Danio rerio: one gene and its partner. The protein of the gene in region 2 interacts with the protein of the main gene of each other region in a pairwise test. Links are inferred from orthologs where the notes say so. Each region holds a gene or a part of one and is shown on either strand. Other genes may lie near its edges.

Region 1 (5,697 bases), on a different chromosome or scaffold from region 2:
CAATTTAGCCTATCCAATTCACCTGTACTACATGTCTTTGGACTGTGGGGGAAACCGGAGCACCTGGAGGAAACCCACTCGAAGGCAGGGAGAACATGCAAACTCCACACAGAAACGCCAACTGAGCCGAGGTTCAAACCAGCAACCCAGCGACCTTCTTGCTGTGAGGCGACACTGCCTACTGCGCCACTGCCTCACCCATAACAATGATTATAATAATTATTATTACTGAATAAGTTTAAATGATGAATTTGTTTAATACTATTTTGAATATATTCTTTCAACCGAATCATGCTCATTTTATTTCATAAAGCTTTTAGATAATTATAAAAATAATAGCGGCGAAGCAGTGGCGCAGTAGGTAGTGCTGTTGCCTCACAGCAAGAAGGTCGCTGGTTTAACCCTCGGCTCAGTTGGCGTTTCTGTGTGGAGTTTGCATGTTCTCCCTGCGTTCGCGTGGGTTTCTTCCGGGTGCTCCGGTTTCCCCCACAGTCCAAAGACATGCGGTACAGGTGAATTGGGTAGGCTAAATTGTCCGTAGTGTGTGTGTGTGTGAATGTGTGTGTGTGTGGATCTTTCCAGAGATGGGTTGTGGCTGGAAGGGCATCTGCTGCATAAAAACTTGCTGGATAAGTTGGCGGTTCATTCCGCTGTGGCGACCCCAGATTAATAATGGGACTAAGCCGACAAGAAAATAAATGAATGAAAAATAATAATAACTAATCATGATAAGAATAATATTAATGATATACCAACAATAATAATAATTGGTAATAATAATTGTTGTTATTATTTTTATGCCTTAAAATAATAATAATAATTATAATTATTTACTATTATTGAAAACGTTTAAATAATGAATTTATTTAATATGATTTTGATTATAGGCCGATTCTTTAAACTGAATCATGCCCATTTTGCTTAAAAAACTTTTATATAATAATAATAATAATAATAATAATAATAAGAAGAAGATAACATGATAATAATAATAAGAAGAAGAAAAAGAAAAAGAATACATGATAATAATAATAATAAAAATGGTAATTCTAATTAATGATAATAGTTAATATTAATACCAACAACAATAATAAAGAAAATTGGTAACAATAAAAAAGTCTTGTTATTATTTCTTAAAATAATTATGGTCATTTTAGATAAGCCTTTAGATAATTACAATAATAATAATAATAGATAATAATGATAAGAATAATATCAATGATATATCACCAATAATAATAATTGGTAATAATAATTAATAATAATTGTATTTATTATTATGCCTTAAAATAATATTGATTATAATTATTTACCATCATTGAAAACATTTAAATAATTAATTTATTTAAGGCAATTTTAAATATATTCCTTAAAATGCCCATTTTGTTTCAGAAAACTTTTAAATAATAATAATAATAATTAATAACAATAATTTGTAATGATAATCATTGATAATAATAAAGATGATGCAATTTGTTATGATCATCGACGAAGCCACTTACTTTCTTAAGCTTTATTTTATTTTATTTTTTTATTATCTAACAATACAATGGCTATGTCCGTGTTTAAACCGCAAAAATAACAATGATTATAATAAGGATGATAATAACAAAGAATGACGACTGAAAAGGACGTCGCTGCTGTTGGTTTCTAAATTGATCATTCATAAATCGATTCACCAGCCCAGTCCACTTTCAAGATCTAAAACCAGACCGTACTGTCGATTGCCGAGCCAAAAATCCCGATGTTTGTTGTCATTACGCTCTACATTTACTTTCAGATGAAGCTTTAATACACAATAAAACTACCAGGGGCTGGTTCGGATATAATCAAGATAAATGACTGAACCGGTTTGTTTTATTCACAGTAAAAGCCAGTTCTACTAATTCTAGCAGGTAAGACACCCGAGCTAAATTAGCATTTGAGGTTAGCGGCTAGCATGCTAAGACCTGTATGAATGGATAGTGTTCACGTTTTACATTTTAATTTATTTGTATTGATATTGTGTTTTTAAGAATTTACTCGTTAATTAGGTAATGATAAGACAAATATATCACATCTAAAATAAGTCTCTTAGGCTTTTTGGCACGGACATAATGAATGATTCAGTTAAAAAAAATTGTTTATGTGTATTACTAACGTTAGGTATTAAGACAGCCAAATATGTATGTCTTGGTTTGGTTTACTTGCATTTAGAATGGAAATAATGTTAAAATAATAGCAAATAACACCAATATAAAGTCATTCATCAATAAAACATTATAAAACATTAATATTTCGTTTTATTCCAGCAAATCTTCTATATGAGTTTGATCTTATATCTGTGTTGGCTGTAGACCAAAGGTGACCCATATGGACCCCACGTCCAAATCTGGGTTGAATCAGGTGTCAGATGTGGTGTTTGTCATTGAAGGAACTGCAAACCTTGGTCCATATTTTGAATCACTTCGGAATAATTACATACTGCCTACTATAGAGTAAGATTTATGACATTCATTACAATACAGTACATTTGTTAGACACTTGAACTGACTTATTTAATATATTTACAGGTATTTTAATGGAGGACCACCGGCTGAAACTGATTTTGGAGGAGATGTGAGTTGGAGGAGTCTGTTTATACCTTCTCTTTACATTTCTGCCATCTCAATTCTGATGATCTTGTTTGTTTTATAAGTATGGTGGCACTCAGTATGGACTGGTGGTATTCAACACAGTGGATTGTGCTCCAGAGTCATATGTCCAGTGCCATGCTCCAACCAGCTCTGCCTTCGAGTTTGTGTCTTGGATTGACAGCATTCAGTAAGGAATCCCATTGTAATCCTATTTTATGTCAGGAAGTCTGGGATAAAGGTTTTAAGTGAATGTCTGCTTTAAAGATATTGTGATTGAAATACTGAGAACAGTTTTAACAGTTTTTTTTTGTTGTTGCACAGGTTCATGGGAGGTGGAGCAGAGAGCTGCAGTCTTATAGCTGAGGGTCTTTCTGTGGCCCTGCAGCTCTTTGACGACTTCAAAAAGATGAGGGAGCAAATGTGAGTTCTTGAACTTGTTCTATGAAATCACAAATCTGCTTTTGAGGGTTTAATCAGCTTGCTTAAGGTATTTTAAAATGACTTTTTTTGAAATGTAAATACAAGAAAAATCTTTGAACACAGCACTATTTATAAAGATTATCAGAACAGAAAGCAGTTGAAGGATGGTGTGTAATAATCAATTATTTGTCTGACTCCACCATAATTAATCAAACACTGTTAAAGTTATTAACATCACTGATAAAGAGAGATAATCTTAAAGCTGTAAAAGAAAGAACATTTCATGTTAAGTTACATGTTTTAATATACAGACAGTAGAATGAAATATATCAACATTATTAGGGCTGCACAATATTGAAAATATGAGACATTGCAATATTTTTTGTTTTCTGTAATATATATAGCGATAAGAGTACAATTTCACCAGGTGAATTGAATAGCTCTATTTAGAAAGATTTTATTCATTTAGATAATATGATGATCAGGTCTTTTTCTATGCACTGCATATACATAAATTATTTTATATATATTCAGATGGAAAAACCTCTGAGTGCCGTCTGAAATGTTTATCAAAAGTTTGAATTTTTTTTTTCAGCTTTCTTTGTTTATGTTGAGATATTTCACTTTAAAGACCAAGAAAAGGTCTTGTTCTTTGCCATAAAATTGGTATTACTGAACATACACACAGGAGCCTGATTAAAAATGCACATTTTAGAGGACAATTTCAGACAGTATTTAGAGGTTTTTGTTTCTAAACTCTTTGTGTGTGTGTGTGTATATATATATATATATATATACACACACACACACACACACACACACACACACACACACACACACACACACACACACACACACACACACAATAGAGCCAGAAAAAAAGTTAAATAAACCATACTTTGTAATTTTCTGGAAAGTTTAACAGTATTTCAGGTACAGAAATTGAACAATCAAGCATAAAATAACATGGTCATCATTTCAATAATTATTAAAAAATAATATTTAATAATTTATCTTTAACTCTTTAATAAATAATTTAATCCTGCAATTTGACTGTTGCGGACACACACACTGTGATATTGATGCTCAAACAATATGATATGCTACCCTAAACATAATGTATACAAAAAAGCTTAGTTTTGATTTTTGCTCTGCTATGCAGCAAAGACAGAGAACAACAGATACATTTCTAGGCATGAGTGAAATACCATTCCCCAAAACCAGCTGAAATGTGAGGAGATAAAGAGGGGGAGATGTAAATATGCATTATAAAGTATGCAATATTATCCTCGGGTCATAACTAAACATTAGTAGATTAATCATTCATTAGAAAACATCAAATGACACTTAATGTGACAGAATGACATAAAAGGAGATCACAAGTAGATAAATTGTGTTTGGTGGAAAGCAAAGTATTGGAGATGTGAGATGTGAAGGAACTCTACCTCACCCAGATGACTCATTCTGTGCTTAGAATGTCCCTATAGTCCTTTATTAGCAAAGAAGGGATCATAAGACTTACATAGTCGTGAATATCATATAGTTAAAAATATAATAGTTTATCAGTCTACATTAATTTGTGCAGAGTTCTTTCCAGTACAACAAAACTAATGACACTGCATTTTTAAGGGATGCCATCATCATGTGCACTACATTATCAGTAAAATGCTGAAGACTAGGGCTGTATAATATATCAAACTAAAATTGATATCAAAAAAAGTGATGTTCACATTAGGGCTGTATGATAATGGGAAAAACTGAAATTGCGATAATGTGTTTTTCTGTGATTATTCATTGATTTATAAGTACAACTGATACTTAAATAGCTCTTTTTTTTAAAGAGATTCTCATTGTAAGCGAGCGTATCTATCTTTAAAATATTATATAAAAATATAAGCATAGCTAAAAACCTCAGAGCAAAGTATACAAAGGGAAAAACAGTGCTTTATGGTTTTCTAGAGAGTCTAAAAGAGCCGGGTACATGAATTGAATAATCAACTGTTATTGTTAAACAACTAAAATGTATAGTTTTAAATGTGTAAATGTTATATTAAGTAATATTTTGGCAACAAAAGTTATAATTTCTTGTTCCTTAATGAATTAATTTCACTGAGTGAAAACTTTCATTCTAAGGTTAAACTTTGCAATGACTCCACAATGCTCTGAGCTGTATATTCTGTACTGAACTGTAATGTGGTCAACTGTAATCTCAATATTGATGCTGAAATGACCTACTGGAGACAATTTTCCTATTATCACTGGTGATTCTTTGATTCTTTTGTTTCTCTATGTAGTGGTCAGACCCACAAGGTGTGTGTACTGCTCTGTAATTCTCCTCCATACTTGCTGCCAGCTGTGGAGAGTGTCAGCTATACGGGCTGCACCGCAGACAGTCTGGTCCAGATCATCCGGGATGTGAGTTTACACTTAGCTTCTTGGTTTATCTGTTATGTCTGTATGTCAGTATGATTTTAAAATAATATAATATTTAGCATTTGCTTGTAATCAAACCATGCATAGTCAGTATAATGCATGATATAATAAGGTGCGGTATGTAAGTTTGACACCTAGTGGTTGAACTAAGTATTACATTCCTGGATTAAAACAAACGTGAGAGAGTCTGACGATCGAGCTTAATCAAAGCAGCCGCACGTGATAGAAA
Region 2 (4,742 bases):
AAATGAGTTATTAAAACTATTATGCTTAGAAATGTGTTTAAAAATCTTCTCTCTGTTAAACAGAAAATGGAGAAAGAATAAACAGGGGGCTAATAATTCTGACTTCAACTGCATATTTTACTATATATTTATAATATTTTTCAATTAGTTTTTACTTTTTCATTTTGAAGTTACTTTTAGTTATTATTTTAATCTTTTTTTCTAGTTTTAGCTTTAATAATACTTAAAACTATTTCACTTAGTTGCCAAAGCAACTTCTAATTTTCAATTTTCATTTAAAGTTTATATTTTGTTTCACTGTAAATGTTTTTAATAATTTAAGCTGAGAATAAAAGCATTTATTTAAAATAAATCACTCAATAGCATACAATAATCTGACTAACACAAGTTTTGAATATTTATGTGTGCGCTCATTATTTGAATGGCCTAATATTTGATCATCTATTATTGTTCTGATGTTTTGTAGGTTGGCCAGAGGTTCTGGCTGCGATTCGTCTCGCTCTGGTTCCTCCGGGTCACAAGGTGGCGTTGCTGTGGTTCGCTGCCAGCCCTTCCTCCTGCGAGTGCTCCGGGCGGCTCTGCCACTGCAGCTCCTCCTGCTGCTCATAGTGGGCCTGACCTGTCTGGTTCCCATGACTGAGCAGGACTACAGCTGTACCCTCGCAAACAACTTCGCTCGCTCTTTTCATCCCATGCTGCGCTACACCAATGGCCCACCTCCTGTATGAGATTTTACTGACTGACGCTTTTATACGTCCTGTAATTCACTGCAGGTCACAGAATGTGTTTCTGTCCACATGTCCAGGAACACATGTTCCTGTTCCTGTACAGTTACTGCTGCTAATTTCATTTTTCACTAAATGCGTACTATTGAACTCATTGCAATGTAGACTAGTGTTGGACAGTCAATCTGGTGAAGCTCTTCTGTACAAAGAAACGGAAGAGAAATAAATCATATATTATGTATTTAATAGCACTGACATACGCAAAAGGTACTGCACTTATACCGTCCACGAAAATGGCCAAAATTATTTGCTTAGACTAAGAAAAGTGTTAATTTTTTATTTTTTTATTATTTAAAACTGTAGAAAAAAATATTTTCATTGTTATTATTATTATTATTATTTAAATAAGATTTTGCATGGCAATTCAAATTTTTATTTTATGGCATGGATTTACTTTTTTTAAATCCCAAAATGTAAAACAGTAACTGATGTAGCTCCATGAGAGACGCGTGCTTTTATTACCGATATCTAATTATTGTATCTTAATTTGTGTGTTATGACAATGAAAATGTGACAAAACATTAATTATGATTACAATGTTTATGCCTATTTATGTATGTACAGTTTGCTAATGCTGACAATAAAGACAAATCTTTTCATTTAATATATATATGTATATATAAATTCTGCAAGTGTGCCTTTAAGTTTCTTTAAGATAATTATTATAATTTTTTTTAACTCCTGTGTAATTAATTGAGCTTCATGAACATTTTCACATTCAGGTCCTCCAAAATTAAAACGTTTGTACAAATGGTAACATTCAAGTATCCGATGTAAGAGCTGCTAAATACAATGTGCACACAAGACTAATGGATTATGACCAAACACATTGACGGATATGAAGCAAAATATGACAGTAGAATGTAAAGTAGAATCTAAGGCAGTCAGTGTGAGTTCCTGCATTAAAAGTGGACCACAGACTCATTTCAGACCTTCACAATGTTGAAATTGGGCTTTCTTTTCAAGCAGTAATCTGTTAAGATAGCAATAAAATCAACAATGACAGACAGCACTGTAACAAGAACAGCAATTAAAAAAATCATTTCATATTAACCAACAAGTAAACATTTTTGCACAAATAAGATGCAGCTATAATGTTACCACTGATCACTGAGCAGTTTTTCCCCATTAAATTACATATCAACGTTTAAAATAGAAGAGGGATTTAGATCCATAATATATCCCTGATTGCAATGAAAAGACTCACTTCATTAACATAAAGCCCCTTTTACAAGTAATCAGGTTTTTCCCCGTTTGTTCTAAGAGTAACTTTTCTCCTGGGCTGTTTTCTGTCTGTTCACACTTTATATCGCAGAGCTCATGTTATTTTAGATAAAAAGCTTATTAACATGAAAAACTGTCATTTAATAGCAACGTCCGTAATCTGTTTAGGGAATTGTGTGTAAACAGGATCTTTAAAAAAAAAAAAAGAAAGAAAAGCAAAACAGGCTAATATTTTAACAAATTAAGAATTCAATAAAAATAAGTAAAAGCAAAAAACAAACAAAAAATATTTAAGCATGTCAGTAATAATACTGGACCAATCATAAAATTCAGTCAGAGCGCTTTAATTTATGCCTTTCTTGATCAGGGTGGGGCCAAGTAGGAGCGCTCACTCTGATCCCCCGATCTCTGCCAAAGTTGTGGAAATTCCAAATTGAACTAAAAACGAAACATTACAATTGGCTTAAGATTGGCAAGAAAAAGTTGGCACATGCATCAACTAGAAGAACTTGAGTAGTTAAAAAAACAATTATCCCTTCATTCATTCTTTTTTTTTCTTTTTTTGCAATGCAAACATAAGCTATACTATAAAGAATGTAGATGAGGAAATCAGAGCAGCGTTTAAACTTAATTTACTTGTTTTTTGGTAGCCTACTGTGTGGATGTGGAACTTTTTCATTTCTGCATTCAACATTTAAAAGTTGGAAATTTCATTTTCAGATCTGTTTCTTAAAACTTTGTAATATCTGGTCATAAATGGATAATTACTATTGCATTAACATTATTTATGACAATAAAATACTCTAAAAATACAAAATACTATTTTAACACTAATATACTATTATAATATATTAATTTATTGAAAATTAAATCAGTATTTTTTGACTGCCATATGATCAGTATGAGAGCTTTAAGTGAGTTTGTGATGTCAAACGGTCACAAATTGTAAAAGAATAAAAGATGAATTAGCATCTCTCTCTGTTTCTCTCAAGTGTATGGGAAAAACAAATTCCTGTAATCAGCTTCCACAAAAACCGAGCGAAATCAACCGTAAATAGATCCTCAATATATAGTGTTTGGGAGGCTTATTCTTATTTACAGACTTTTTTTTCTATAAACAAATTCTCTTTCGAATGTCTCGGTTTCAATAGTAGACTCTCGTAAGGCACAAGAAGAGACTGAAGTCCTAGTCCTCATTTCTGCTCTTCAAATTGTGTATAATGTGTATATGGTGGCAGTGCACAGGTCAGGGGTCAGGGCTATGGCTGTGACAGGCGCCGTTGGACTGAATGGCTGCAGCTCCTCCTCTTGGACTGTTGTTGCTGCTGCTGCTGCTGGTTGTGGGTGTGGATGGAGGGTTTTTCTCGCTCTGAGACCACACTCGCTGCACCTTCCCTGAAGACTGGAACCGCTGAGCGTCCAGCATCTCCAGCAACAGGTCATACAGCGGCACTCGATTCTTACATTTCATTCGGTATAAGTGCTCCATTCCTTTGTTGCTTTCAAAAAAGAATGCAGATATAGAGTGTGTGTGACTGTAATGTATGCTGTAATAATTCAGCAACAATATCGCCATTTAATTGTTCTTTATGAAGACAAGAAAGTCCAATTTAAAGGGTAAACCTTTTCCAACCAAAAAAGTAATAGTTTTTTATTATTTATTAATGGATTAATAAAGGGTTATTGGATAGTGTATCATAATGTGTAATGAAATACATTTTAGTAGATTTTTTTAATGAAGGTAATAATAAAGGCAGGATTAAAGACAATATTATAAAGGATTTACTTGATCTATTCTACCTTTTAATTTTAACACACACACACACACACACACACACACACACATATATATATTGTAATACCAACACTTTTATCTATTCTCTTTTTACTATATAACATTTCTGTATATATTTATATACAGTCAAGTATAAAATTATTCAAAGCCCTGGGGTATTTTGTTTGATTATTTCTATTGTTCTCAGTAACATTGCTCTTGCTTTGGATATAAGCAATACAAAACAAATATTTTATATTCTATTGTCTAAAAATTATGTTTTTTTTTGTTAATTAGGTTAGTTCTGTGTCGATTGATCTATCATAAATTCCAGTATGCTGATTTGGTGCATTTTGTTGTCTTATTAATATTATATTATTTGTATTATGATGGTCGAATACAGTATTTATTAGAAGAAAGAAAACATCTGAAATGTTACTGAACATTTTTCAATGGTCCTTTATCTGGTTTCTGATGTTAGTAGTGTAAATTTAGTTATGTGTGTGTGACTCTCAATGTACCTCATGTGTCTGATGTGTGAGAGCAGCAGCAGGAGCTGGGCCTGGCGACGGGACTGCAGCTGCAGCGACGCTCCTGATTTACTGATGCAGTAAATGAGGGCATCAGTGATGTTGTCCAGCATGCACTGCACCATGAAGTTGTCCATCAGCGGCTCCACTGGACTGGAGCAGAATGAAAATGCACCTGACCAGACAGAAAAGGTAGCCATTACAACACTACACATTAACCTTTGATTTTGTTCACATTTTGGCACAATTGTTATGTAGTGCGTGAGACTGACACTTGATGGACTGATAAATCACCAAAGAGAAAAAAAAACACAAAAAGTGAAGCTTTAACAATAATATTTATCACCGATTCTGAAAAAGATTTTATATGTACAATTAAAGTTAGAATTATTAGCCCCACGTTGATTTATTTTTCCTTTTTAAATTTTT

The links.
Region 1: the proteins of esr1 (region 2) and med25 interact in a two-hybrid assay, tested with the Homo sapiens proteins (2 studies listed by BioGRID). The link is inferred for Danio rerio from reciprocal best matches to the Homo sapiens genes ESR1 and MED25.

What each region holds. Positions count from the first base shown.
Region 1 is NC_133178.1:29,271,529-29,277,225, reverse strand, and holds the start of med25 (mediator of RNA polymerase II transcription subunit 25), read left to right. Parts: upstream 1-1,716; 5' UTR 1,717-1,895; intron 1,896-2,291; 5' UTR 2,292-2,352; coding exon 2,353-2,477; intron 2,478-2,552; coding exon 2,553-2,598; intron 2,599-2,677; coding exon 2,678-2,802; intron 2,803-2,936; coding exon 2,937-3,035; intron 3,036-5,329; coding exon 5,330-5,450; intron 5,451-5,697. UniProt on the Homo sapiens protein: Component of the Mediator complex, a coactivator involved in the regulated transcription of nearly all RNA polymerase II-dependent genes.
Region 2 is NC_133195.1:29,072,585-29,077,326, forward strand, and holds the end of esr1 (estrogen receptor), read right to left. Parts: intron 4,489-4,742; coding exon 4,305-4,488; intron 3,509-4,304; coding exon 3,256-3,508; 3' UTR 1,707-3,255; downstream 1-1,706.